Arabidopsis thaliana: one gene and its partners. The protein of the gene in region 1 interacts with the protein of each later gene in a pairwise test. Each region holds a gene or a part of one and is shown in the gene's direction. Other genes may lie near its edges.

Region 1 (6,872 bases):
TTCTCGGTACTAATCTCCTTGATCATCACCATCATCATCACAACCATCTCATCCGGTGTTTTAGGGTTTGATGATATTGTTTTGGCTCTTTTTAAACTAGATATTATCTCATGCTGCTGATTATAAATAAATCTCGGTCTTCATTTCATCTTATCTTAAGGTGTGGCTTGTTGTTGTTGTTGTTGTTGTTGTTGTTGTTGTTGTTGTTGTTGTTGTTCATATATATATATATATATATATATATGTCTCATGATGATTAATTGTACGCTTATGCCCGATCATAAAAATAGAAAATCATCATCTTGTAATAATATTAAAATAATATGTATGTTGAACAATTAATATTTAGTTATTTACTATACTCAATCTCTTCTATGAGTTGACTTGTCAATTGAAATTTTATAATTTTATTAATGATTTGGAGAAGAAAGTAATTTTACATTTTTCCATTTTTATTTTAAAAATCATTTTTATTTTAAAAATCACTTTAGTTCAGGTTTTTTGTTGCTAAAATGTAAATATTCATAAGAATAAAAATGTTTAGGTTTACAGTTATATATTTTAGACTTATAGACTTGGTCTTATGGCAAAAAAAAAGGATTAAAACATGGAAGGAAAAACAATCAGTTTGTCGACTCAACGTATGCTATGAAGCAAACAATGTTAGAGAAAAAGATAAAGTGATACAAGATTTTGAAGTTCCTCCAAAGTGAGTTACAAAAGATGAAATTTGGCAATGAAAATTTATAAAAACTTCAAAAGTGGAAGCCTTTCACTGGAGGCCAATGGACTGATTCTATCGGCTTTGCCAAACTATTCTACAACAGGTTAATCATTTGGAGAAGAAAGTAATTTAGTGGTTATTTCACATATATACCACCATTCATCAATATAACTTCTATGTTACGTTTCCGTTCATAAAGATATGTGAAAACGAAGTTCCTGTAAATGAATGATTAAGTTAAGAAATTTATTCGCTAAATCTATAAATTCATCTGATCAACATTGTTGTCTACGCAATTGTTGTTCATTAAATCTTTACGGTCACAAAAATAACAACCTCATGATATGTTAGAAAAACTTTAATCATACACTTGCAAAAAAAAGTGAAGCAAAATCTACCATAAATATGCAATTGTGCAGTGGTCTTCTCCTCTTAATTTTGTTTGAAGTACGTATATTCGAAACTTTATTTCGATTATAATTTTTCGTACGATTCTTTATAAGTAAAGCAAAATAATGATGGATTGAAGAATCTTGAAAATGGAAAGAAATGGACGAGAGGCTTTTGACCATTTGTATGGCCAGAATAACAACACTCACTACCAAATACAATAACGTGATTTTGTTTAATAGATTAGATGCGGTAGGAATATATTATTCTTCGTGAACTAAAACCATGTTTTATAACGACAAAAAAAAACCCATGTTTTATAAGTTTATGGGCCAAAATTGGGCTTTTGTATTATAAACATGTTTACGGAAGTATTCAGCTAAGTATATATAAAAAAAAACAATTACACTAATTTATTTAAATTTTATTATTACCTACTTACAATTAGTAAAATTTAAAATTAACAAAAAAAAAACTTTTACTTACTTTTAGTTATTGTTTTAAGAAAAAACATCATTAATTACCCTACTTTTTTTTTTAATACTAGGAGGTTCTAAGCCAAAACATCTTAATTATTATATTGTTTATATGTCTAATAATATCCATAAATGTATTAAAAAAACTTAAAACATAAACTAAAGGGTAATAGATCATAATATTATTGAATGGAGTAAGAAAATGTATAAATTATAATTCAAAAAGAGAACTATAATCTGCTTTTCTACCCAAATGAAGTAAAATAAGACATCAATTTGCATTTCAATGGTCAGTTTTAAAGGTAAAATTAAAGACGTTAAACACGTGTAATGTAAAAGAGATCACTCATGAGTCATGACCAACCATATTCTTAGTTTATATAAGTAATTCACACCCCTTAAAAAGAAATATAGTCTATAATCAATCATACTTAGCATGAAAACGATGATCAAGTTTCTGCTGTTAATACTGGTGATCTCTCCTATGTCGATATGCGCCGAGAAGGACATGATGATAAATGAATGCCACAATGCAGACGTCCCAGCCATATGCATGCAATGTCTTGAATCCGACCCAAACTCCATTCACGCCGACCATATAGGCATAGCTGGCATCGTCATAAACTGTCTTGAATCCCACCTCCATATCATCACCAAGCAAGTTTTCACTTACAAATTATAACCAATATACAGAAATATCCTCTAATATATCAATTTTTTCATTTGTGTAGTAACATAACGAATTTATCGTCAAAGAAAGATAAAGGTGAAGTGAAAACAGCTCTGGAGATTTGCAAAAAAGACTTGTCGACGAATGCATCTACAATACTGTCGGAAGCCAAAACAAGTTTGAAAACCGGTGATTATGATAAAACCAACAAATCGATAAAGCTTGCGCTTGGCTTTCCTCTGAGATGTATGTTCAATCTCAAACGTGTCAAGTTCACGTCTCCCCAACTATTTAGTCAAATCAATATCTATGCTCAACTCTCTGACGCTGCTATGAGGATCATTGATCGCTTCTAATAAGTAATAACTCCTTATTGTTTTCTATATAACTCAACTTCGATCAATGCTTACCCCAATTTGAATAAATCATTTCCTTTATGAAATTTATAAAGTCACATATATCCATTTGTTGTAGCTCTCATGTTTTTTTTTTCTTTTCAAATTTGTCAAAATAAGTTTTCGTTTGAACCATCATTCAATATAAATCTAAATGATATATTGTCTTTTTTTTTTTTTTTTTTTTGGCAAAGAATGATATATTGTCTATTTCATCAAAGTTGGACCACTATACGATAAATTGTTGTTCTTATAACGTTAAAGTAGGAAAACAGTTCAGTTTTCACGTGACTAACTTACTACTATTGGAATATTTATCATAAACTTTAATTCACGAAAATCATTAATGAAAATTTGATATTACTACTATAATATCGTCTTCTCTATTAATTTAGAATCTTATTCATCCTTTTCCACTTGTCTTCTCTAACCCTCTAAATTCTCTTTGGTCGGGATCACTGGAAAGAAATGTATAATCTCACTTTCTCTCCATCATTGTCCTCTTCTTTGCTCTCTTTTACACAACAAACTCCTGCAGCCATAGTGTCCTCTTCTCCTCCGGATTTAGTACTTCAACAAAAACTCCGGTTTGTCGTGGAAACCTCACCGGACCGATGGGCTTATGTCATTTTTTGGCAAAAGATGTTTGATGATCAATCGGACCGGTCTTACTTGGTTTGGGTTGATGGTCATTTCTGTGGAAACAAGAACAACAATTCCCAAGAAAATGTTCATTTTTCTTTGCCTCTTATGTTATCTAATCAAAATATCCAAAATTTATTTAAATCAACTTCTTAAAAAAGTTCTATTAAGAAAATAATATAATTTTCCTTACCCTTGATTTTTTGTTTTTGTTTCTTTCTTAAGTATACAACAAACAGCATCGAGTGTGAGCTGATGATGGACGGTGGAGATGATCTGGAGTTGTTCTATGCCGCATCGTTTTACGGTGAAGATAGATCGCCGAGAAAGGAAGTATCCGATGAATCTTTGGTTTGGTTAACCGGTCCCGACGAGCTCCGGTTTAGCAACTACGAGAGGGCTAAAGAAGCCGGTTTTCACGGGGTACACACATTGGTCTCCATACCCATCAACAATGGCATTATCGAACTTGGTTCGTCTGAATCAATTATACAAAACCGGAACTTTATAAACCGAGTCAAGTCCATATTCGGGTCGGGTAAAACAACAAAACACACTAACCAAACCGGTTCTTACCCTAAACCGGCGGTATCAGATCATTCGAAAAGCGGAAATCAGCAATTCGGGTCGGAAAGAAAACGGAGGAGGAAACTTGAGACGACAAGGGTAGCTGCGGCGACGAAAGAGAAACATCATCCGGCGGTTTTGTCCCACGTGGAAGCGGAGAAGCAACGGAGAGAGAAGCTAAACCACCGGTTTTACGCTCTACGTGCCATCGTACCAAAAGTGTCACGAATGGACAAAGCGTCACTTTTATCCGACGCAGTTTCGTACATAGAAAGTCTTAAATCCAAAATCGATGATCTCGAAACTGAGATCAAGAAAATGAAGATGACGGAGACAGATAAATTAGACAACAGCAGCAGCAATACGTCTCCGTCTTCCGTTGAGTACCAAGTTAACCAGAAACCTTCAAAATCAAACAGAGGCTCTGACTTGGAAGTGCAAGTGAAGATCGTCGGAGAAGAAGCCATAATTAGGGTTCAGACAGAGAATGTGAACCATCCTACGTCGGCATTGATGAGTGCGTTAATGGAAATGGATTGTCGTGTACAACACGCGAACGCGTCGCGCTTGAGTCAGGTTATGGTTCAAGATGTTGTTGTTTTGGTTCCAGAAGGATTAAGATCGGAAGATAGGCTTAGGACCACACTTGTCCGAACCCTAAGCCTATAACAATTTCTTTGTTTTGTGACGTCAACATAGGATGTGATAATAATTTTTGTTTTTTTTTGCGACCTTTTGTTTTATTTGATAAGTACTAGAAAAATCAAATTCCTTCTAGCGATTAATGTTGTTTTATCAAAAGTTTGATCTCGTTGATACGTAGTTTATGTGTTACTTTTTTACTTTATTTCTCGTACGTACGTACTAGCTCGCTAAAAGCGCAAAGTGTTTGGTATATTGTCTTACTAAAACAATATAGAGACTGTATATTTTAAAAGAAACAACTCATTAATTGATCATTTGGAAATATTAGTTTGAAAACCATAGAGAAGACGGAGGAATTATAGACACACACACGCTTGTCCTATAATATTTAGGACCACTCTTCAGTGATAGCTTGCTAACAAATCAAGTCAATTACGTAATGAACTACCAATGCTTTATATTAATTATTCTTGGACGTACTGTTATATTAAGACACTGATTGGTTAATTTGGGGAAAAAATATTAGTACAATGCACAGAAAAATAAAGGGTACAATAATGTTGAGAAAAAAAAGTGGTACAATAATGCAAAGAGAAGAAAAGGGTACAATAATGCAATTGAATTGTATCTTTCTTATTTTGTTTGCTAATTACTAATTGCAAAAAATGTTTTTGTGCTTGAAAAAGTAATCATTCTGTATCTAACATTCACATATAAAACAGAACTAAACAATTTTGCATTTACTTAATGAGACAAAAATGTTTTGTTTTATTTGATGATCATGGTTTTATGTTTTTCTAAAAGAAATTAAAATATGTTATGCAACAAACTATCATGTGTCTATGTATACATAACCTATGATACAATATAGTTTCGACCTTAAGATTAAGTTTCTTTGACAGAAAGTCAGAAACAGTTATCTTTCACATGATCCCTTCTTCAATCCTGCTGCAACGATGTAACGGTTATGCAAAAATTTACTGATAGGTAAATCACATGAAAAATGGCCACATGCAAAAATTATGCCCGGTTCCAACTTCTAGGTTAATATGGTACTCAACAACAAAAAAAAATATTAACAATAAATACGTGTTTGTCTTCTTCTTCTTTATAGATGTTTCACTTTATAAATAGACTGTAAGTTTTTAAAACGCAATAAGAAAAACAACTGAAATCATTTTAGAAATCTTATGCGTGCAGAATAAATATTGGTGTTATGTGCATTTGAAGCTTTAGGCTTTAGCACTTTCTAAAACCTCGTTTTGAGCAAAGTCATTCAAAAGGAACTCTTAATATTTTTACAAATTGAAATAGCAATTGTAATTTAATCAGTAAAACCTCTATAAATTATCATGTTTATTAATTTATAGAGACAATATTTGGGCTAAAATATCAATTTGAGAACGGAAGAAAATTATTAATTTAATGAGATATTAATTTATTGAATATTAATTTATAGATTTTTGACTGTATATATTCTAAGCTTTGTTTTAAGAAAATTTAATCCGTTTAAAAAGATTTATCTTCATTAACCCCAAAAGAAATGATTTGTTTTAGCTTGGCCAATAGTCATGTATGGCCCAATCTGGTATAAAATCTCATAAAAAGTTTTATCTTCATTAACCCAAAGAAATGATTTGTATTAAGATGGGCCAATAGTCAAGTGTGGCCCAATTAGGAGTAAAATCTCATAAACGAAATGGGCCCATAATGGCCCAATATTTGTACACCACAATCGGAAACCCCTTTTGGGTCATTTCAAGTTTGACGAGAAACGTAAATCGCTATTTCTTCTATTCCTCCCTAAAAATCTACCAACGAGATTCTTCTCGAAAATTTCCTGCGCCTCTCCGTGTCTGTGAAATCGATTCAGGTAAATCACTCTTCTCGAATCGATGCTTGTTTTGTGAAATACCGATTCTATCAGATCTATTTGATAAATTTGTTGTTGTTGTTAGTCGTCTGTGTAGTTTATTCACCTTTTGTTTCGATTTTTGGGTCCTCACGAGATCTATGAATCGTTATCTGAAACAAAACTCGAAACTAGCAGATGATATGTTATTTAGCGCGATTAGGAAGAATAAAACGAGATTTGTTGGTAGCAGTGAGTTTCTTAGATCGGTTTTTTTATCGATTGTGTGAAAAAATTCACCATTCAGATGCTTTTATTGATTTGTGTCTTCTATAATTGAATTGAATTGTTTGATTCAGCAGCTTAATTATCTAATGGTTTTATGTGATTGTATTGGCTTGATTAGGGTTGAATATGCCTTGAAACTTCATTTCAATCCCACTATACACTATAGCTATAATCTGATATAAGTTCGTTTTCTCCTTTTGTGTGGCTTGATTATGTTTGATAT
Region 2 (7,766 bases), on another chromosome or scaffold:
ACGGCTTGGATGGTGGTGACTTGCATAATGTGGCCACTATCTCTGAGCGTTTTGGTGTTTCTCAGGGTGTTCTTCCGGTTCGTTATCTGGGGATTCCCCTAATGATCTAGAAGATGAAAAAACAAGATTATCAACCTCTTCTTGACAGAATTAATAAAAAGTTCTCCTCTTGGACTGTCAGACATCTCTCCTTTGCTGGTCGGCTTCGGTTGCTGAAATCTGTGATCTTTGCTACCATCAACTTCTTGGTGTCAGTTTTCCTCCTTCCAAACCAATGTCTCCAAAAGATTGAGCAGATGTGTAATGCCTTTCTTTGGAAAGGTCTGCCTACCTACGCTAGAGGTGCAAAGATCACTTGGAACGTAGTATGTACGCCTAAGCAAAGTGATGGCTTTGGGTTGAAAAGGTTGATCTCTTGGAATACGGTTTTCGTTTTGAAACTTATCTGGTTGTTTTTCACTAAGGCTAGTTCTCTTTGGGTTTCTTGGATGAGGATTAATCTTATTGGTAACCGGAATTTTTGGGATCTGAATCCTTACTACTCAGGGAGTTGGATTTGAAAACGTTTGTGCAAACTTTGTAACCTGGCGAGACCTTTTTTGGTGTGTGAGGTGGGTTAAGGAATTACAACAAGTTTTTGGCATGATAACTGGATGGGGTTGTGGCCGCTGATTGATCTCTCGGGTCCATTAGGACCTCAAGTTATCGGGTTGAACAAAAAAGCGGTTGTTAGAGACGCAACATCTTGCAATGGATGGAAGATCATGACTTCTCGAAGTCGTAATCCCATCATTTCGACGATCAAAAACGCCCTGCCATATTGGATTGATATCATTGATTGTGAAGTGGATGATGTCTATCTTTGGAAGCTCGAGCATCATCCACCCACACCATTGTTCTCCTCTACTCTAACTTGGCTCGCTTTGCACCCATCTACCTGTCCGGTTCTGTGGCATAAATCTATATGGTTTAAGGACTATATTCCAAATCATGCGTTCATCAATTGGGTTGTGGCTTGGAACAGGGCTTCACACTAGGGACCGAATGCGGAGTTGGGGAATTTCTATTCCCACGGATTGTGTCCTTTGCTCTGGAAGTTCGGAGTCTAGAGATCACCTCTTCTTTGAGTGTGACTTTAGTCTGGCGGTCTGGAGTCACTTCAGGAATAGAACAAGATTATCTCCTCCGGTCCCCTTCATGGCCTGCCTCTTATGGATTAATTCGGCTTCGTGTGATGCTTATCTCTGTCTCATCATCAAGCTAGTGTTCCAAGCCTCTATTTATCTCTTATGGAAAGAACGCAATCGTCAGATCCATTCTCATGCTCCCCGTACCTCTGCTTTGATCATCGAGGAACTTAAGGTTATTCTATGGTCAAAGCTTGATCCCATTTCTCGGCGTAGTGAATTTGATTCTCCAGGATCCTCTCTGCTCTCTACTTGGTTTCGTTTCTTCAGCTAAGGGCAGTTCCTTCGTTCTCTGTTCTTCTTTTTGGGCTGTTTGGGTCTTGTTGGGCCATTCAAGTTTAGTTTCGGGCCTGCGTGACTTGGATTTGGGCTTCTTGCCGTGTATATTTTTCGGGCTTGCGTGCCTTTTTTTGGACTCTTTGTTTTGTAACTTGCTTTTATCTTTAATGGAAATTTAAACCTAAAAAAAAAGAAAAGATTGGGTGGGCAAATGCATGTTACCTACTGATGTTACCGAGTATCTCAAGTACTAACAACAGCTCTATGTTTCTCAAAAGGAAAGTCTCAAAGCGACGACGTATTATTTTCACGCACGTTTTAAATTCTTGATGCCTTTTTTTGTTTTATTCTTTTTTCTTAAGTTACACATTTAAACAAACAAAAAAGAACAAAATGAGAAAGAAATAGATTGTTTTCGAGCTTTCTCTCTCTTCTCTCTCTAAAAAATCTTAGAGAAAAGGGAAAGTTTTCTCTTTTGTTTCGCTGGCCTGATGGCATTCCGACGTTTATGTGTTTTAATATAGTTGGGTTTTATATCTAACATCTCTGTCGTTTTTAGCAGTGATGGCTGGCTCTTGCCTGACAGCGTTCGAATTCCATGACCATCGTTGGCCGGATCTACTTTTCTTATCAGTGTATCTGATGTTTTTTTTTTTTTTTTTCTTTCAATAATCTCATAGATCCTCTATTGGAAATTTAGGTGTTTTTTTGCTTAAAGGTGTTTATTATCCAATTTGATCTTTTGAGTTTGCGATTTGCAGGAATCAATCCAAAGAGTTACATCTTAAGTTGCAGAAAAGAAAACAATTTCATTGCACACTAATATTGCTTTTAGCTGTAAATCTCTATTTTGATGTTCGATTGGTTTATGAACAATGAAACCTAGAAGAATCAAGCTTGCTTTTATAATCAATGATGATTTTTCTCACTGGAATCGATCTCAGATGGCGAATGATCTACAATTGAGGCTATTTGTCTAATTGATCTATGGACACGAGTGTTTTCCTTTTTGTTTTTAGGTGTTGCTGAAAAGCTCCATCGGCTTAATATCTACGTTGATGTTCTTTGGAGTTCGGGAGTCATTGCCCTTGTGAAGATCTTTTCTTTACAGATTTGATGATGTAGTTGGTAGGATTCTCTAGTTAAAAACCTGTGGACTTATTTCTTGAAGCTCTGACGGTTTTCGGTAGTTTTGGAGTTCCCTTACGCTTCGTACCATATCGGCTATGAGCGGCGAACGGCGACAACATCTACTTCAACTTTACTTCATAGGCTCACACATGGTTTTGTGTTGGATTTGTTATATTTCTTAGTTCCTTAAAGGGGTATCTTTATGGATTGGACTTTTTAAGTTGGGTCTCCGCTTATAAGCTGAATTGTTGGTGAAGTGGAAGCTTCCACTGTTGTACCTTTTACGACATAGAGTTTTAAATAGAAGAGAAAATTCCCAAAAAAAACTTCAACTATTAAAATTTGCCAAAAAAACCTCAACTTTTTCGGTTGTCAAAAAACTCAAACTAATTTATTAGTGACAAATAAAACCCAAACTAGAAATATTGGCAGATTATACATACGCTCTAAAAACAAATTATAGTTTTATCCTTAAAAAATTAATTCTTTTTTTTTTGAAACGAAAAGAAATTTCTTATTTACTTTGTATTTTTTTAGTTTATACGTTTTTGCCTTTTTGGAAATTATCATAGAAAAATGATATGAGTGTCTCATTTTTAATTCTCTTTTCATATATTTTTACTTTTTAGATTTTCAAACTTTAAAAACCAAATCGTTTCTCTATTTCTTTTTTTTTTGCTTATTTCTTTCTAATTTTTGGTTCCTCAATATCAAAATGATTCAATGTTCTTCGACTAATTTACATATTTTGATTTTTTCATCATAATTATATAGTTAGCTTTGTGTTAATATATCTTATTTAATTTATTTTAGCAATACGATAACGGCGGTATGCATGTACTAAAAAGGATGCGTAAAGAGTATTAAGTTTTTCACATCGAACAAAATTGTCCACTATTTTATTTTTTTAAATAGTTGTCTATATTACAAGAACAAATGAAAATAAATAGGTATTATTAGATAAGTAGTTTTTTTTTTTGGTAAGGCATTATTACTTATTAGATAAGTAGTTAGATATATAAAATAATCAAATAGTTGAGGTTTTTTTGGAATATTTCTGAGAAAAACAAAAAGAAAACAAAATTGATTGAATAATGAATACACCGAATAACGAACGTTGCGTAGAGAAGAGAACCAATTCCCAATCAAACGGAGAAGACAGATATTATTCACAGAGAGGCTCATGGCTGAGGTAAACGGAGATTTCCCCGTTCCTAGTTTCGCCGACGGGACCGGTTCTGTTTCCGCCGGACTTGACTTGCTCGTTGAGAGATCGATTCACGAAGCTAGGTATGTATCACTAGTAACTGGAATCAATTTGAATCGTTAATTCTCATTTCTCTTTATCTGTCTTTGTGTTTGAAGTTTTTTCTTAGCCTATAGTTCTGTGATTTGTTAGTTCTTAGTACACTATAGGAGCGTGAGCAATTGACGAGACTTGGATCTATATGAATTGTTAAATTAGCAGATCAATTTGGGAAACTCAAGAGGTTTAATTTCAAACTCTTGTTTCAAGGTCCACAGAGCCAGATGCTTCAACTCAACTTACTATTATCTTTGGTGGGAGTTGTAGAGTCTTCAATGGTGTCCCTGCACAAAAGGTTTGGTCCATCTAGCTTTGAGTACATACATTCTGATTTTGTTTATGTTGGTTGCATCAGAGTTTCTAATTGTATTGGTGATCAATGCTTAATAGGTTCAAGAAATCATTCGCATCGCTTTTGCTGGTAAACAGACGAAGAATGTGACCGGTATCAATCCAGCACTGAACAGAGCTCTTTCTTTCTCAACTGTAGCTGGTAAGCAATTGCTTCATTCGGTTACTGTAAGCATTATCTACGGAGTTACGGACTATTAATCCCTGTTTGTCTCAGATCTTCCAATTGCTAGGAGACGTTCGCTTCAAAGATTTCTCGAGAAGAGACGGGACAGGTAGTTAGATATTCAGTGTTTGCTTTATTAACATATTGATAGTTCTGGAAGTGTTAGTGTGTATGAATCTGATTTGTTAGTATGTATTAGTTTGTGACGTCAAATATTGTTCTTGCATTTAGGAATTTTCATGTGTAGGTAGGTTGTTGAAGCTTAAGCAAATGAAGAGACTGGATCTATGTGAATGTTAATTTGTATACATTGACTGGTTTCGGAAACTGAGATAGTCTTTTAGTTTTTTTTCTTACAAGTGTTTAAGCTTTTATTCTCATGTATTATTCTACTTCTATATCATATTTGGCTGACTTATGGCCACCAGATAATTGTGTATTTCTTAGTGATCATGCCTCACAAATACATTAGATGTTGTTGCCCATTCTTTAGTATCGGTTTTATGAGCTTGAATTTGAACTAGGCTTGTGTGTTTGATTTTGGTACCGTTGAATGCAAAAATAGCCTTCTATCTACTGTTAGATGACATCATCAGATGATTTAAATTTAGTAGGTTGTTTGAACTGATGTATTGATGGGACTGAGGTTAGTTGATAGCCTAAGCGGCTGTAATATTGTAGTGGAATCACTATTTTGTTCTTCTCCCTTTTGCATCAATAGGGTCTTAAAATTTGGGTGGATTATTATTATCTTCCATCATTCATAACTAGCTCTTGTTTCTTCTATTGAAGGTCCACGAAGCCAGATGGTTCAATGATCCTTCCAAGTCAACTAACCATTATTTTTGGTGGGAGTTTTAGCGTATTTGATGGTATTCCAGCTGAAAAGGTTTGGTCCATCCAAGTTTTGAGTACATTCGTATTTCGTTTTTGTTGGGAAGCAGTTGCATGAGATTTCTTGTTCTCTTGGTGATCACACTTAATAGGTTCAAGAAATTCTGCATATCGCTGCTGCAGCTAAAGCCACTGAGACAATTAATTTGACCAGTATAAATCCAGCATTAAAGAGAGCTATTTCATTCTCAAACGCATCAACAGTAGCTTGCGTATCGACAGCAGGTAAGGACTTGCTACATTGGATTACCGTAAACGTTATATAGTCCGAGTATGGAAAACCCCATGAGCTTTATGTAAGATGCATGTTTATCTCAGATGTGCCAATTGCTAGGAGACGTTCACTTCAAAGATTTTTTGAGAAAAGACGGCATCGGTAGGCATATCTGCAGTGCTTGTTTTATAAACATATACTCTCATCTTTCTCCATCACTCACCTATGAGTTTGACCATTAGATTTCATCTAATAGTAACTTGGACCCTCTTTATTTTCAGATTTGTCCACACGAAGCCTTACTCTGCTACGACTTCGGAAGCAGACAAAAATGAAACCAGCCCCATTGTGACATGAGCTCCAAGACTGTAAGCTAACCTCAAACCTTACTTTCGAAGCAACTCAGTATCACAGTTATCTTTGACAAGATTAACACAGCTCATATATAAGCCTTCCGTTGTTGTACGATAATCATCTGCCTATGTTTCTTAGACAAAACACAAAATTGTTTTCCATGTTTGTGATTTGATGTGTTTATCATCTCGCACCTCCTCTTTGAGGAAGATGATTTCTTTTTCTTCACAATGTATGTTGATGCTGTATGATAAGGTCTCAGAGCTATATAAGAACACAAGAGTACTCAAAAATGACCATGAAAGACTTAGTGTCCTTATAAGCAAATCACGACCAAGAAACATACAGAGAAATCATCAAATACTAACCGGAGAGATTAGTAGGGACCTCAGATCAAAATTTTCAGGTCTGGTTAGGCATGTGATTATTACCAGAACCAAAATTTTCAAACCAAGCCAATCCAGTTTTTGGTCATTTCAATTTAGGGTCGGTCACTAAAAGTGAACAGGTCGGCATAATTTTTTAGTACATATATTTAACATGTGCCCAAGTTATGACAAACGATGAAACATAACATATTTATTATAAATGATTTATACATCATAACTCATAAAAACATCAAAATTATGAAATATTTTGGTAGCGCTACCATAACCACTCAATCATCCGACTGAAATCATCAAAATAAAAAAATATTTTCTAACTTTTTTTATATTTACATAAATATATCTACAAAATGATCCCGTATAAACTTGTAATAAATTATATATGTGCATTTTTCAAGACCAAATCTCTAAGATCAAAGACTAATGCTACCACATCATTCAACGAAACAATGCAAATAAATTTTGGGATAACTTTAACTTTGATCATCTTTTAAAGTATTTAAGGATTTTACATACAAATTTGTAATTTAAAGGGTTCACAAACGGCAACAAAAAACAAAAAAAGGTTTACTAACGAATTTGTAATTTTAAGAAGATCAAAATATAAGAAATATAAATAATATCATAAATTTTAAAGGGTTATAATGCAAATGTTGAACTTTAGGAAACCAGCTGACCTCCTTTAATCGTCTTTGGATGTCTATGCGGCGGACCCATAAATACTTTTTATGGGTCCATCAAATATAATTTAAAAATAATAAGTAATTAAAAACAACCAAAAACTAAAAAAAAAAAAACTCATCTCTTTAAGTTTACATATGAATTTGTAATTTTAAAAAGGAAAAAACAAAATAATTTTAAAGGTCTACAATACAAATATAGAATTTTAGAGGGGTCGTCTGACCCCTTTTAATCTTTTTGGGTCTGTCGCGTGGGCAGACCCATAAATACTTTATATCAGATCAAAATATAACTTAAAATAATTAGTAATTTAAAAAAAAAAACTAACAAGTTTTAAAAAATATTATTAGTTTAAAATATACCGCAAATTAGGTTCAATATTTATGGGTGAATCACATTAAAAGGCTAAAAGTATCAAAACACAAAGTAGAAGAAAATATATAATAAAACTTAAAAGGTTTACATCAAATTTGTAATTTTAAAAGGGTCAAAACATATGAAATATAAATAATATCATAAATTTTAAAGGGCTATAACACAAATGTAGATTTTTAGTTGGGTCAGCTGGCCTTCTTTAATCTTTGCTCTTTGGATCTGCCTATGCGGCGGACCCATAAATACTTTTTACTAGGTCAAAATATAATTTAAATAATTAATAGTTTAAAAAGATTAAAAAACTAAAAAAAATATTCATTTGCTTATTATATACCATAGAGAATGATTCCCAATTTTTTTTTTGTCGGCAATGATTCCCAATTTTAAATACAGAGAATGATATAATCATAATTTATTTATTTAAATATTCATACATTGACAA
Region 3 (6,676 bases), on another chromosome or scaffold:
TCTCTCAGATTTACTGATTTTGAAGTGGAGAAGAAATTAGTTGTCTCGACAAACCCCACTAGTAAGTTTTTTAACTCTTTTTTAAGCTAATATTGAATATGAATGTTTAATAATCGTTTTTGTGGTTTTGGAACTGTGTAGGAAACTTTGTTTAGTGTGTCTTCTTAAAGCCTGCAAGATGCAGAGACCACCTCCTGAAGATTTCTCCTTGAAGGAGACGAGACCTCATCTAGGTGGAGGAAAACTCTCTGGAGATAAGCTTACCAGTACTTATGACCTTGTTGAGCAAATGCAGTATCTCTATGTTCGTGTGGTTAAGGCAAAGGAGTTACCTGGCAAGGATATGACTGGTAGTTGTGACCCTTATGTTGAGGTTAAGCTTGGAAACTACAAAGGCACCACTAGGCATTTCGAGAAGAAATCTAATCCTGAGTGGAACCAAGTTTTCGCCTTTTCTAAAGATAGGATTCAAGCTTCTTTCCTTGAAGCTACTGTCAAGGACAAGGATTTTGTCAAAGATGATTTGATTGGTCGGGTTGTCTTTGATTTGAATGAGGTACCTAAGAGAGTTCCTCCTGATAGTCCCTTGGCTCCGCAATGGTATAGGCTCGAGGATAGGAAAGGTGATAAAGTCAAGGGAGAGCTTATGTTGGCTGTTTGGTTTGGTACTCAAGCTGATGAAGCTTTCCCTGAAGCTTGGCACTCTGATGCTGCAACTGTTAGTGGTACTGATGCTCTTGCCAACATCCGTTCCAAGGTTTATCTTTCTCCTAAGCTTTGGTACCTCAGGGTTAATGTAATTGAAGCTCAAGATTTGATACCAACTGATAAGCAAAGATATCCCGAGGTTTATGTGAAGGCTATAGTGGGAAACCAGGCGTTGAGGACTAGAGTATCGCAGAGCAGGACTATTAATCCCATGTGGAATGAGGATTTGATGTTTGTCGCAGCAGAGCCATTTGAGGAACCTTTGATCCTCAGCGTGGAAGATAGAGTTGCTCCAAACAAAGATGAAGTCTTGGGGAGATGTGCGATCCCGTTGCAGTATTTGGACAGAAGATTTGACCATAAACCGGTGAACAGCAGGTGGTACAATCTCGAGAAGCATATTATGGTCGATGGAGAGAAGAAGGAGACCAAATTCGCTAGCAGGATTCACATGAGAATATGTTTGGAAGGAGGGTATCACGTTCTCGATGAGTCTACGCATTACAGCAGTGATCTTAGACCAACAGCGAAGCAACTATGGAAGCCTAATATCGGTGTACTGGAGTTGGGGATACTGAATGCTACAGGTCTGATGCCTATGAAAACCAAAGACGGCCGGGGAACCACAGATGCATATTGTGTGGCGAAGTACGGACAGAAATGGATTCGAACTCGGACAATCATTGACAGCTTTACACCAAGATGGAATGAGCAATATACTTGGGAGGTTTTTGATCCGTGCACCGTTGTTACTGTTGGAGTTTTTGATAACTGCCATCTCCATGGAGGTGAGAAGATTGGAGGAGCAAAAGATTCAAGAATCGGGAAGGTAAGAATCAGGCTTTCTACTCTCGAGACTGATCGAGTTTATACACATTCATACCCTCTTTTGGTGCTCCATCCTAACGGAGTCAAGAAAATGGGAGAAATTCACTTAGCTGTGAGATTCACTTGCTCTTCATTGCTCAACATGATGTATATGTACTCACAGCCTCTCTTACCGAAGATGCATTATATCCATCCACTGACGGTTAGCCAGCTTGATAACTTGAGGCATCAAGCGACTCAGATTGTATCGATGAGGCTGACCCGAGCAGAACCACCTCTAAGGAAAGAAGTAGTTGAGTATATGCTTGATGTGGGTTCTCACATGTGGAGTATGCGGAGAAGCAAAGCAAACTTTTTCAGGATTATGGGAGTTTTGAGTGGGTTAATCGCAGTAGGAAAATGGTTTGAACAAATCTGCAACTGGAAGAATCCAATCACAACAGTCTTGATCCATCTCTTGTTCATCATCCTTGTGCTCTATCCCGAACTAATCTTGCCCACCATCTTCCTCTACCTCTTCCTCATCGGTATCTGGTACTACCGTTGGAGACCGAGGCATCCTCCTCACATGGACACACGTCTCTCTCACGCTGACTCAGCCCACCCCGACGAGCTAGATGAAGAGTTCGACACTTTTCCTACTTCCCGACCATCTGACATAGTCAGGATGAGGTATGACAGGTTGAGGAGTATTGCTGGTAGGATTCAGACAGTGGTAGGTGATCTAGCAACTCAAGGAGAAAGGCTTCAGTCTCTGCTAAGCTGGCGTGATCCGCGTGCAACAGCGCTCTTCGTCTTGTTCTGCTTGATTGCCGCAGTCATTCTCTATGTGACACCTTTCCAGGTTGTGGCTCTTTGTATTGGAATCTATGCTCTGAGACATCCGAGGTTCAGATACAAACTACCATCCGTTCCTCTCAATTTCTTCAGAAGGCTTCCTGCAAGAACTGATTGCATGCTCTGACCTGCAAAAACTGCTTCCAATACCGAAGAAAACTTCTATAAGACTTGTAGTTTGTTCTTGTTAAAAATATCATGATGACTCTTTTTAGTTTGTTCATTGTTAAAAATGTCATGATGACTCTTTTCTTGGTGATGGTGATGATGTATCCGTCTGTCTTTTAACATTATTAAGACTTTTGTTTGAAAGTAGTAAAGAAGTATCTTGTGTGGTTTTGATGTTCTTGTCACTGGTTAGTAAGTCATAATCTATGCCTCTCTGGTTTTTGTGTTTTATCACTGGAGCTTTAGGAGTTTGGTGCCATTGGGTTGGTTGCTGTTGAGATTAGAGGTTGTCACAGTTTGGTCTAATGGTCAAATACAAGTTTCAAGAAAAAACCATTTTTCTAATACATCCAAAGTTGGTTATAACCAAAAAAACTATCATATTGGGAATATATGTTCGCTAAATAACATTCTTACACAAAAATTCATTGAAAGCTTTGATATTTTATTTTTTTTCCGACCATTCTGTTTGACAAATGTTTGCCAGGTGAGATACTTTTATTCTAGAAAGACCAACCATTAAGAAGAAGAGGGGAATAATTAAAGCAAGCTTAAGAGTTAAGAACACAAAGTAAATGGGCCCAGATATGGTAATGGGCCACGTGACAAATGGGATGATACGTTATGGCAGAGAAAGAATCTTTTGGTAGCTTTTTTGGGTATCATCGCGTAGGTTTCACGCCACATTTATCCATTGACTTTTTCATTACGTCTTTTCATTTATTTTATGATATAGTAGATAATAATTATACCTGGTTAAAATTTAATAATTGACCGGTCAATAACCATTAAAGTGGAGGAAGTAGGACGAAAGGACATTTATTCGCCGCGAAATCTGGACCGTACGATACTCCGATTACCCTTCTAAAGCTTTAACATAGGGGTACATCTGTAACTTCACATTCCATCTTCCCCCAATCTCCTATTTGTGTCTTCTTCGAGTTTATATATAGAGAGATAGAGATTGGAGAGCGAGCGAGACAAATCAGAAGAGAGAGATTTAGATATTGTAGAGTGAGATTCTAAAGAGAGAGAGAGAGAGAGATATGGCTAGTGGAATCGCTCGTGGTCGTTTAGCTGAAGAGAGGAAATCGTGGAGGAAGAATCATCCTCATGTAAGTGATTTCGTGTCTTCTATTTCTCCAAATTCGTGATTTTGATTTATGGGTTTTGGGTTTCTGTTGATTGTTCATGGTCTCTGATTACTGATTGGGTTTCTTCTTGTTGATGGTGAAATTTAGGGTTTTGTGGCAAAGCCGGAGACGGGGCAGGATGGAACTGTGAATCTAATGGTGTGGCATTGCACTATACCTGGTAAAGCTGGGGTAAGTATCAATCGTGAAATTAGGTTTCTTCAGTTTTCTTATTCCTCTGCTTGTTTTCTTCTGGTTTGTATTAGTAGCAACAAAAAAGAGATTGAAATTAGGGTTTATTGATTTGGGCTAAAGTCTTTGTTTTTATCATCTTCTGATTCTTAGTTCTTCAAAGTTTTAAGCTTCACCAGTCTCTTCCCTTCTTTTTCTTTGTGATTCTGTTTGATGATTCTCTCATATTTGCTTACACATAGAGCCGTGGAAGATTATCTAATATGAATGTTAGTGGGAAGAGTAGCTGTGTATCTATCTCCTTGTTTATCTTGTATGATGTTTTTTTATTGGTGCATATGATTTTGGTCTTGAATACGACATTGAAACTGAACTCTGCTGTGTATCTTACTTTGACATGGCTAATAAGAGTGTTACTGCAAGAGCAATTGCTAATATCAATCTTTACTGTTGTTTATAGCTAATTTTACATGTTTCTCTGCTGCAGACTGATTGGGAAGGTGGATTCTTTCCATTAACGATGCACTTCAGTGAGGATTATCCGAGCAAACCTCCGAAATGTAAATTTCCACAAGGGTTTTTCCACCCTAATGTCTATCCATCTGGAACTGTCTGTCTCTCTATCCTTAACGAGGATTATGTAAGTACTCTACTGTTTCTTTCTTTGCATTTCTCCATGAGCAAAAGCCAGCTTTATCCTCAAGCTCTCTTTTGTTATGTGTATATCCATAGGGATGGAGACCAGCCATCACCGTGAAGCAGATTCTTGTTGGTATTCAGGATTTACTTGACACACCGAATCCCGCTGACCCTGCACAGACAGATGGTTATCATCTCTTCTGTCAGGTACATTTAGAAATGAAAACTCTAAACACAATATTAGGTTTTGAAACATAGGAAGGAACTAAGTCGAGTGATTGTTGATGATTATTGTGCAGGATCCAGTTGAGTACAAGAAAAGGGTGAAGCTGCAGTCCAAGCAGTATCCTGCTCTTGTCTAAAACCTCAAAAAAGAGAACGCACCAAAACTGATGACAAGCTCTGAATATTTTCTCGTCTTGTGTCATTATGTTTAGATGTCATTGGGTGATTGAAAACTCCTCATTTTGGCACCTTAAGACACTGGAATCTATTTATTTTCGAAAAAAAACTCTTCTTTCTCTATTTAACTGTTAATATTCTTGGTACTGATTCAGTTGGTGTTGCTTCTATATAATACATAATTATGTTCTCTGGTCGTTCATGAGTGTTGTCCAAATTCTACTAAGTGAAATATGAAGTCTTCATTCCATAGAGTAACGAATCTTAGTTGTGAATCTAGAAATACATATATTTCTAACTTGAAACTACGCTTAACACTTGAAAGTCAAAATCTTACTCCTCTAAAATTTATACTCCACTGATTTTAGACTTTTGAAGTAGTATTAGTGCTTGTTAGTAAATTGTTTGCTACTTGGAACATTTTTTGTCAATGATTGAGATAGAAAGCTTGGAATATTTAACAGAACTTGGAATTTAGCTACGAAATCAAGTGTGCAGAAAGAGATAGGCAAACACCGTATGTCAACAGTTACAAAGCAATAAAACCAAACATTCAATACTTATATACAACTCAATTATTGAAAGTCAACAACAAGCCAAAATCGTCTACAAGTGATGACACTTCAGATATGAAATGTGTGAACTATTATAATCTTTCCTATGATATCATCATCAGCAGATGATTCCTGATCTATTCTATCATCAGAACAATGATTTTCCAAAACGAGTATCCTATAAAATCGTCAAAAGATGATTGACGCTTCTAATAAAATCATCAGAAAATGATACAAGTCTAAGAAACCACCGAACTTGTGAAGATATGTCATTAGAGGATGACCTGTAGATCCATCTATGATATCATAAGAAGATGATGTACTCACTGTGCAGGAACCTTTAAGCAGATATACCTCTATGGTCTCTTCTCCTAAGTAAGGATCATCGCATCTGGTCTCTTCTCCTAAGTAAAGATCATCGCATAGTCATTAAAGTCCGCACCCTCTTCTCCCGCTCTTCCCTTTTAGCTTGAGGAGTGCTCTTCAACTTCTGGATCTCCGCCATCACAATTTTCTCAACTTTGTCAATAGAATTGAGTAGCTTCTTCTCGGGTGTGATGAAGCCAGCTTCTTCCTCAGCTATCTCTTTAGTGATGTCAAGTAACATCTTTTGAACTTTAGCAGTTGATGGTGGGCAACTACGCTTGAATCCCACAGATGGTCCAGGAGTGACCATCGAGCATTTGTGTTCTCCTGACAGTGGTACTGGAGATTCAAGAACACCAACTTGTCGATGAGTTGGGATCTCAATAACTCGGCCATCGTCTCCTCCAGTCCCAGCTCCTCTTCTTCTCTCAATAGCCTGTAGTTCAAGAGTGTCAACAGAATAAATCGCCAGGCTAAGCAAGCCTTAAGGCAACAAATCTATGTGATAAAACTTATACAGATAGGCTAAGCAAGCCTGCTATGATCAATAATAAACAGAAACGCTTTAACAAACCAAACCTATCAGTAGCAGATTCCTAATTCAGCTCAAAAGAAGGATTACAAAAACCAATGGGGAAACTTAGACTCAGAGAAACCATTTTCCATGTGCTACACCACAAACAAGAGAGATCCCAAACATTTAACCAAGCTGCAAAGCAAAACCCATGCCAGACCAAAACTGATTATACAAAGAAGAATCAACAGGAAAACACAAAAGAGCTTGTCAATTTACCCGCACAATATGAGTTATGTCGCGTAGAGGTGTTCTTGGATACCAAGAAGGCAACA
Region 4 (9,114 bases), on another chromosome or scaffold:
TCCTCAGCCTTTTTAGTAACCAAAACTGTCATTGCCAAACACACCGCGAGGATTATGTTCACAGCTCCCCAAAGCCTTTTAGCTCCAATTTTCTTACTAATCACTCCAATAACAAGGGACATGACTCCAAGAACGATAGAGTTAAGCATCAACCCCAACGAACCAACTTGGATTCCGTGGTTGTATAGTTTCTTCATTTTGTCATCTCCTGCTGAGTCTCCACCATACACTTCACGACCCATCCAATCGGTATCGTATAAAAGAAAAGGAAACCATGCGATCCAGTTCAAGGCCGTGACGGCTAGAAGCATCCACATTGGACGTTTCATCACCTTGAAAGCTCCAAAGATCTCGCCAAAGAAGGGAGTTTTCTCATTGTCGGAATCTGCATTAGGCGACCATTGCTTGTCTTCCACGTACCAAAGAGCTATGATTGTGAGGACTATGAGGAGAGTGATGGAAATAATGAAACAGCTCTTGAGATTTGCACAATAGATGTCGCATGCTTTAGTCACTGTGAAAGGGAAAATCTTGTGGAGGTTAGTGTACGATCCCGCAGCGTATCCCAAAACGTTTCCAACGGCCATGAAGAAAGAGAAAATCGCGTTGGCAGTTCGAGTTTTCTTAGCATCTCCGGCTGCTAAATCACCAAGAAAAGCACGGCAAGGTCCTTGAAGAGTGTTGTTAGCCACGTCAAGGATCCAGAAACCGACAACGAAGAAACCAACGGCTCTTATCTTGACAGCTTCGTCGAGTTTATCTCCCATGGTGTGGCCGAAGTCAGCCGCAAATCCAATTAGTATAACAGCAAGGGCAACAAGCAAGGCACCAGTGGCGATGAAAGGTCGACGACGACCGAATCTTGACTTGCATCGGTCGCTGAAGTAACCGACGGTTGGCTGGACGAGCAGACCGGAGATAGGACCACATAGCCATATGAAAGATGACCATTTGTGTGGGACTCCGAGAAGCTGAACGTATGGGGTTAGGAGAGAAAGCTGAAGAGCCCAACCAAACTGTATACCGGCTGCGATAGAAGCCACTGATATCATCTTTCTTAGAGGTGACGGCTCATCAGGAACCACAACCGACGAAGAAGACTGTCTATCAACAGGCGCCGCATCTTCTTTTGCTTGGATGTCACTCATAGTTTCTTCACGTTATCTTAAGAGGTTGTGTTTTGGTGATGGTGAATCGTGATAGAGGAGATGAAAAGAAACGGACTCGTCTCTTAAAGACGAGGTGTGGAAGATGAATGAGATTTATGTTTCTATAAACGTTTTGATTCTGTGTTTCATTAGTTAAGAAAATAAATCATTTATACTAAAGGATATAACGCAAATATCCTTATAGGAATTTGGTAATAATGACAAGACTAACTGAAATCAGTTTATTATCTTATCTTTACATATTCTGAGATCGTGACAGATTTCTTGTTTCTGTAATATGTTTTTGTTTACAATTTCTCGTCAAATTTGTTTTGTTCGTTTTCCTTTTTTAAATTTCTGTTTGCATCAAACCGCATTACTGTTACATATTATTTTGACTTCCTCCACAAGAAAAAGAAGGTGAAACAAATGATATCTCAAAACCCAATTTGGGTACGTTAAGTATCCAAATTGATTATGTCGTCAGTTACGAGCCTAACATAAAATGGTTAAGTATCCAAAATTCCAAAGTGATTATGTCGTAAGATATGGGCCTAAAGTCCATAAACGTGAAAAAGCTTCTTCGATTAAGGTAAAACAAGCAAGTTTTCACGTTATCTTCACTAGATATATGTCTATCAATATTGATGATAATATTAAAGTCAAATTTCACAAACCTCGAACGAAGCTGCAATGTCAAGCGAAGAAATTTGCCAGCAGCAGAGAAAACGAGAACATCTTCTTTCCAGCATGATTGCAAGCTCTCCAAAAGACTAACGCTCTGTCTGAGCATCAAGTTGCGGGAAATCGGGTTTATATGAGTCAGAAACCTGAATGAAAACAAGAGAAGCTGAGAAGCCACTACTCTAATGGCAAGTATAGCCATCTATGATAGTTCTCGAGTACCTCAGTGAAAAGTACACTCCCACATTCCATTACTTCATGAATTCAGTACATATCGCTTGAGAGTTACATCAGACCTTGACGGACAATAACTTCTTTCAGGATAGATTTTGCTAAGAAGTTGTCTGTTTTAGCAACAAGATACAAAGAAAAGAGTACAATGAGTGAAATGTAAAACGACATCATAGAAGGAAACAATGTCCAATTATGATTAATGAACAAGGTTGGTAATACATCAAAATATGAAGTCTGAGATGGATCTCGGTGCTGAAGACGGTAACTTTCACGACCTGACATTTTCGAATCGCTGTTTCCCCTCCCCTGTGCAGACCACCGGCGATGGAGGAGTTTGTCATATAGTGTCTCTGTATTTAGACTGCGTGCCGAATTAAAGTTATAGAGCAGAACTCCGTGTCGGCATGGCTCAATCCAATTCGGTTCGGTTCGGTTCGGTTTAAGTAAGAAGAAAAAAACTTGATGAATAAGGCGATTCTGGTCTTTTTGTTTTCTGTCTTGTTTTGCCTATAAGGCTTAAAATAACATGGGCTTAAAGCCCAATAGTCAATAAACGAGGATAAGCTTCTTCGACTAGGGTAAAACAAGTCTTCACTATATATACAATGCATCTTCGATTATAACCCCCAATTCTTAGATATTAGGGCTTATGTTCTAAATCGTGTTATTCGTATTTATCGTTTTTTTTTTAAATCGTTGCGCAGCCCTTAAGATCGCCTTCCACAAATGCTTAATGGAAGCGTGTCGAGTCATTGCTGCGCTAAATCGAAATTTATTAAGGGTTTTTGATTAGGGTTCTCCTAAGAACTAACCCAGTTTTTACCTTCCTGATTTATTATAGGTCGAGTTTTTTTATATCGGCATTAGATCTGGAATTAAGGTCCTCTCTCGCTGACTCTTCAGATATAAGTGTTTATCTCTTTTATCTGCTAGAGATCTTTGCGTTTGAGGATTTTCAGATTTTAATTTCGTTCATTTAGTATCTCGTTCTATATAATCGGGTAGGATACATTGTTTTTATTGGTTTTGCAATGAAACGGCGAGAATGATGAACCAATTAGATGTGCGAATGAGGGGTAATTTCCTCATTATGAGCTTAAAACTGTTTGAGGCATATTTAACATCTCTGACTTCGCCGCTTTTCAAAAGTTTTGTTTGAGTTTTTATTGTTTGTTTTGGTTTGATGGAATAGTGGAAAATGAGGAACATATAACTCAAACGTGAATCAAACCATGTACCAGTTTTTGCTTATTGATATTCTGATTCCACCATTTGAAATGAATAACCATATTTGCTTTGTTTTCTTGATTTGGTTTGCTGTGTTTACGATGAACTCTCATTTGCTTCTCTGTATTTATTATCTTTTTATTAAGAAGATCAACTCATACGAAATGGTGATGTTTCAAAGTGAATTACTTCCAACCTTGATATCCTTAAGTTACAATTAGCGACTCATGAACTAATCGAAATATGGTTTGCCTTAGTTTGCCGTAAAGTAAGTGATATACTGATATGTAAACGATGTTGGCATGGACTATCTTTCAAAGACAACACCTGAAACAGAATTCTTGAGCTTGGACATGGAAGTGACTAATAATGGAAAATTGTTTATAGATAAAAAAAATAATACCAAATATGAATTGTTAACGACATTTCAATTTTGTATGTCCACTCGGAGATCTTCCTTTGGTTTTACAAACATAAATCAATATCAGAAGTCATAAGATTAGTCTATGGGATTGGCTATTATTTTGTTGTCAGGTGGCAATACTTACCCCAAAATGCCCATCGTTGGTTCAATATGAATATATGATCATCCTATATAGCTCTTTCCTGAGGAAAACAACCAAATATAGCTCTTTCCATTGATCTATTAAAGATGTCATCTCAACAAACCTCAATACTATTAGGAGATAGCTTGCAAATCTTATATCATGTGAGATATCATGAATTCAATTTGAAAAGAGTGAATAAATGGCTTGTTAACTCTTTAACTTTGACAATGATGACTTGATTTTGTGTTAGTTTGCTACCAATATCAAAGCCATTCATAGTGGATGGTTGTAAACTGCCCATTTTTTTTCTGTACAACCTTCTCTCCGTTAACATCTTTGCAAATGAACCCATTGAAGTATAGTACAATATCAAACAAACACATAATGTTTGAGTATTCCCATTAAAAGAGGATTGCAATCAGATAAAAAATATATAAATTACCAAATGGAATAGATCTTAAAAGAAAATAATTACCAAATGGTATTTTACCATATTATAGATTTTTTTATAATAAGTAAAATAATAATAAAATATAAAAGAAAAAAAAGAGTCTAAAAAGGCCCAAAACACTAACAGTCAAAAAAAGGCCTAAAACACAAACCGTCTAAAAAGGCCCAAAACATAGTTCGGCTTAAACGACCCAAACCACAACAAAAACCACCCGATTATCTTTTTCTCTCGGATTGGCGTTAAAAATTTTACTGGCGAGATTTCGGATTGAGGAAAAGAAAAGTGACTGGAATTTAGGGTTTAGACTCCGGCGAAGAAGGAGATTTCAAAGCTTCGAAGACAGAGAAAATGTCGTCGACTCTCCTCGAGCAAACTCGCTCCAATCACGAAGAGGTTGAAAGGTTGGAGCGATTGGTTGTGGAAGATCTACAGAAGGAGCCACCGTCCAGCAAGGACAGATTGGTCCAGGGACATCGTGTTCGTCACATGATTGAGTCTATTATGCTCACCACTGAGAAACTTGTACGCTTTCTCTCTTCTTCTCGTCAATTTTTAATCTTCTTTTCTATTTCCCGCATATGTTTTTATGTCTCTTCTCTTTTGAATACGTTAGATCAGAGCAGAGAAACTTGGGTTGCTGATTTTTTTTTAAATAACAGGTTCGTGTTGAGTGTTGCCTCTTTTTCTGTTAATTGCTTTAGCTTTTTAGGTTATCATTGTGGGGTTTAAGTTAGCTTTGAATCACTCTGGCTTGGGTGTTAAATTGAGAAGAAACTTCAGAGATTGGTGTTGAATATAGGTTATAGTTGGGGTCTTAAGTGTGTATGTAGGGATTCTAAGTTTTGAGCTAAGCATGCTTCAGTGTTATTTCACAAATTTGAGTTAATTTTTGTTGTTGATAATTAACTCAAACTTGGATTAATGCTAACCTTGATTCTTGTTTGTTGTAAGGTTGAAACCTATGAAGATAAGGATGGGGCGTGGGATGATGAGATTGCAGCGCTTGGTGGCCAGACTGCGACAGGGACAAATGTGTTTAGTGAATTTTACGATCGTTTGAAAGAGGTTTGTTCTTTATCCTTTGCACCTTCCTTGGTCTTTTTTCCCTAAAACTTGCCTATGGTTCTCTATACCAAGACTTGGCTTTACTTTAGTTTCTGTGGGTTGTATATTAGAGATTGAGCAGCTAACTTTACCGGACTATTAGTTAATCTAGACATTGTTATTTAGCTGTTGATCTTTTAAAAAAAAATAGTTTTATTGATTGCCTTGAACCACTGTGATGGAGAATCAAGAATTATGTACAAAATCTCAGTGAAAGTGTATTAGTTCTGTTCCATCAACAATTTGGTTAGCTGTATAAGGCTTGCTTTGCATAAGAGTATTAAGGCGGTGAAATTTTCATGAGGACACCCTGAATAAGATTCAAATTGCTAATTCGTTTTTTTTTTATTGTCTGAATTATTTGATTTTCTTGTACCACTGATGAAAGCATCAGAGCTGCAACTATTTAACTTCTTTTATAAACTTACAGATACGTGAATATCATAAAAGGCATCCTTCTGGACGTCTTGTTGATGCTAATGAAGACTACGAAGCACGCCTGAAGGAGGAACCAATTATTGCGTTCAGTGGAGAGGTAGGTTTCTGCTTGACTTTTTATTGTTGCTATTTGTTGACGCATTTTTTAACAGTTTGTAAGCCCCTTTTTTATTGTCAATACTTAAATCTTCTTGTCTGTTACGCAGGAAGGCAATGGTCGGTACTTGGACTTGCATGATATGTATAACCAGTACATCAACTCTAAATTTGGGGAAAGGGTTGAATATTCTGCTTACCTTGATGTTTTTTCTCAACCAGAGAAAATACCGCGTAAACTGAAGTTATCGAGGTAAACACTTCATTGGAATTTTCTTTTACTTAGAAAGCCTCCAATTATTTTTCTAGCTGCAGCTGAATGGCTTTCCTTTTTGTATTGCTATTTTTCATTTTAGGCAATACATGAAGTATATGGAAGCTCTACTTGAGTACCTGGTCTACTTCTTCCAGCGAACCGAGCCGTTGCAAGATCTTGACCGGATACTTTCTAAGGTTTAAGCTCCTCCCTTTCTTTATCATTTTATTGCGTTTACCTTGTTGCCTTATGAAATTTTATGGGCGTTTCGAACTATGCATTAGTACATAACTGGTATATTTATTCGTGCTTAAGAAGTTTCTACTAGTTTCCCAAGTATTAAGTGTAGAACTTTGGATTTGATTTCCTTAGTTCTAACAACTGGTTGCTTTGTGAGTCTTTCATCCCCCTGGAGATAATACATAATTTTGGAAAATAAATGGCCATAACTAGATGGTTGTATTCAATATTCATTGGTGCATAGTTTGCTCTAAGTGCAGAGATTGTATATCCTCGGAAGGTTTTGAACCATGTTATAGTTTGACATTCTGGTAGTTCTAGTTTGGCCAATGCTGTGCCTATTGTTTGATCTGTTGCGATTAATATGTTTGGTTCTTTTACAGGTTTGTTCTGATTTTGAAGAGCAATATGCAGATGGAATAGTAGAAGGCCTGGATAATGAACTTATTCCATCTCAGCATACTGTCATAGATCTTGATTACTACAGTACAGTCGAGGAACTGGTAGATGTAGGACCTGAAAAGCTAAAAGAGGTAATGACCATACTACTTCATGTTAATATCCTTTTTGAAGCATATTCCCCTAATCATATGTTCTTTGTATGCCATTCAGGCATTGGGGGCATTAGGACTGAAGGTTGGTGGTACTCCGCAGCAGCGTGCCGAGAGACTTTTCCTGACAAAGGTTTTTACACTTGCTATATAATCTCCTATTTCTTTAAGTTTCGTCTTATGAGAGGGTACTTTTATCAATTAGTAGCCGCGTTCTTGTTGTTCTTACTGGGTTTGGAAGGAACATTTAGCTGTTATGAAACCTAGTTTGGTAGTTCAGCTCAGCTCTTCTTCTAATATGAAACTAAGGCTTTTGTTGTCATAGTTCATGTTTTGTAGGGATTGAATTCTATTTGAAGCTTTTCTTATTACCTTGAGGTTATCTAATTCCCTTAATTAATTCAATTTTTGTACAGCATACGCCTTTGGAAAAGCTGGATAAGAAACATTTTGCCAGACCTCCACACAACGGAAAACAAAACGGAGATGCCAAATCAACACATGAGTCTGAAAATGCTAAAGAGATTGCACTAACAGAGGCCAAAGTGAAGAAACTCTGCAATTTACTTGATGAGGTTAGTTGATTGAAAGCTCATAGTGACATTTTTTTCCCCCTCCCAGATATCTAGTTGTACTTTTTCTGTTAACTTTTCTTGTTGTCACCTTTTATAGACCATCGAAAGGACAAAACAAAACATTGTAAAGAAACAGTCGTTGACATATGAAGAAATGGAGGGAGAACGTGAAGGGGAGGAAGCTAATACCGAATTAGAAAGTGATGACGAGGACGGTTTGATTTACAATCCGCTGAAGCTACCAATAGGTTGGGATGGGAAGCCTATACCATACTGGCTCTACAAACTTCATGGCCTTGGCCAGGTATGTAGTTTATTTATGAGACCATTGTTGTATCAAAGGAACATAGATTCACATTAAATTTCTTGTTATTACGCAGGAGTTTAAATGCGAGATATGTGGGAACTATAGCTATTGGGGAAGAAGGGCTTTTGAGAGACATTTTAAAGAATGGCGACACCAACACGGAATGCGTTGCCTAGGAATCCCAAACACAAAGAACTTCAACGAAATCACTTCGATTGAGGTAATAATATAATATGATCAAAGACTTTGTACAGCTTAAAGTAGTAAATAGTTTGGTAATTTGATCTTGTTGTTGTTTGGTTTGTTTCAGGAAGCCAAAGAATTGTGGAAGAGGATACAGGAGAGGCAAGGAGTGAACAAATGGAGGCCAGAACTTGAAGAAGAATATGAAGATCGTGAAGGTAACATTTACAACAAGAAGACTTACTCTGATCTTCAACGCCAAGGTCTCATCTGATTGATCACATCCTCTTGATGAAATCTTCTCTCCTTACTATATCCCTTTAAACCATATTCTACCTTTCGCCTTTGTAAAATCAAACCATTCGTCATCTTTTTGTGAGGTTTCGTCTCATTAAAACAGTATTTAGTTTATGTTTTTGAATTGACTATCACAATCGAGGATATAAAATTTGTTTTTGTATGGACAATGCTAGTAAGGAATAGTTGAGGACTTTACTTCAATAACAAGAAACAGATATGAGTTAATATAGGATACTACATGTAAGAATCAATCACTAAAGTTTTCAGATGATAGTGTACTCACAAATTTTGAACTAATTTTTTGATCTTTGATATTCTTACAAAATTGGAATGTTTTAATTTCCTTAATTATCCAATTCCTAACAAATCATTGGTTCCTTTTTTGATAAAACTTAAAATTTGAGTCAAACTTTATAAAAATTATCAAAATAAACAGATACAACCTCAATACCTCATACGACTGTCAAATTTTTTAAAGTAAGCTATCACATAGTTTACCTTTATTTTTTTTTATTATATTTATTTACGATATTTTTTTTTTTTGAAAAATACACAGATATTTGATTTTGGTCAGATATATGTCCATATACGAAGACTTTCAAATTTTATTTGTTTTCAAAAAACCTAAACATACAATCTCATTTTGCTATTTTGGAAAGAATAATGAAATATTCCTTTCTTAATCATATTCCAAAATTTTAATTAAGAAATAAAAGTTGGGATGGGCTTTACCTTTTTTATTTACAGTCCAACGGCCTCATTCGATGACTAG

What was found.
Region 2: the proteins of AT4G00870 (region 1) and JAZ11 interact in a two-hybrid assay, tested with the Arabidopsis thaliana proteins (one study listed by BioGRID).
Region 3: the proteins of AT4G00870 (region 1) and SCE1 interact in a two-hybrid assay, tested with the Arabidopsis thaliana proteins (one study listed by BioGRID).
Region 4: the proteins of AT4G00870 (region 1) and ATO interact in binary tests that used the Arabidopsis thaliana proteins (3 or more experiments, as listed by UniProt).

The regions. Positions count from the first base shown.
Region 1 is NC_003075.7:359,891-366,762, reverse strand, and holds AT4G00870 (basic helix-loop-helix (bHLH) DNA-binding superfamily protein), read left to right. Parts: upstream 1-3,053; 5' UTR 3,054-3,123; coding exon 3,124-3,384; intron 3,385-3,522; coding exon 3,523-4,533; 3' UTR 4,534-4,830; downstream 4,831-6,872. Other genes in the region: AT4G00883 (uncharacterized protein), read right to left, coding at 1-47; AT4G00880 (SAUR-like auxin-responsive protein family), read left to right, coding at 1-71; AT4G00872 (Plant invertase/pectin methylesterase inhibitor superfamily protein), read left to right, coding at 2,027-2,247, 2,322-2,616.
Region 2 is NC_003074.8:15,363,890-15,371,655, forward strand, and holds JAZ11 (jasmonate-zim-domain protein 11), read left to right. Parts: upstream 1-3,656; 5' UTR 3,657-3,780; coding exon 3,781-3,887; intron 3,888-4,113; coding exon 4,114-4,198; intron 4,199-4,293; coding exon 4,294-4,396; intron 4,397-4,471; coding exon 4,472-4,529; intron 4,530-5,212; coding exon 5,213-5,309; intron 5,310-5,406; coding exon 5,407-5,539; intron 5,540-5,632; coding exon 5,633-5,690; intron 5,691-5,809; coding exon 5,810-5,885; 3' UTR 5,886-6,268; downstream 6,269-7,766. UniProt on the Arabidopsis thaliana protein: Repressor of jasmonate (JA) responses. Targets MYC2, MYC3 and MYC4 that are JA-dependent transcription activators.
Region 3 is NC_003074.8:21,427,022-21,433,697, reverse strand, and holds SCE1 (sumo conjugation enzyme 1), read left to right. Parts: upstream 1-3,299; 5' UTR 3,300-3,587; coding exon 3,588-3,656; intron 3,657-3,782; coding exon 3,783-3,866; intron 3,867-4,353; coding exon 4,354-4,506; intron 4,507-4,598; coding exon 4,599-4,712; intron 4,713-4,804; coding exon 4,805-4,867; 3' UTR 4,868-5,202; downstream 5,203-6,676. Other genes in the region: AT3G57880 (Calcium-dependent lipid-binding (CaLB domain) plant phosphoribosyltransferase family protein), read left to right, coding at 179-2,500; UVI4-LIKE (UV-B-insensitive 4-like protein), read right to left, coding at 5,877-6,263, 6,621-6,676. UniProt on the Arabidopsis thaliana protein: SUMO-conjugating enzyme that accepts the SUMO proteins from the E1 SUMO-activating heterodimer SAE1/SAE2 and catalyzes its covalent attachment to other proteins with the E3 SUMO ligases SIZ1 and MMS21.
Region 4 is NC_003076.8:1,861,825-1,870,938, reverse strand, and holds ATO (splicing factor-like protein), read left to right. Parts: upstream 1-4,505; 5' UTR 4,506-4,640; coding exon 4,641-4,814; intron 4,815-5,243; coding exon 5,244-5,357; intron 5,358-5,826; coding exon 5,827-5,931; intron 5,932-6,040; coding exon 6,041-6,183; intron 6,184-6,286; coding exon 6,287-6,383; intron 6,384-6,809; coding exon 6,810-6,959; intron 6,960-7,038; coding exon 7,039-7,110; intron 7,111-7,393; coding exon 7,394-7,552; intron 7,553-7,649; coding exon 7,650-7,856; intron 7,857-7,932; coding exon 7,933-8,079; intron 8,080-8,169; coding exon 8,170-8,316; 3' UTR 8,317-8,614; downstream 8,615-9,114. Other genes in the region: SUC9 (sucrose-proton symporter 9), read right to left, coding at 1-1,148. UniProt on the Arabidopsis thaliana protein: Splicing factor homolog to SF3a60 that may be involved in pre-spliceosome formation. Is necessary for gametic cell fate determination.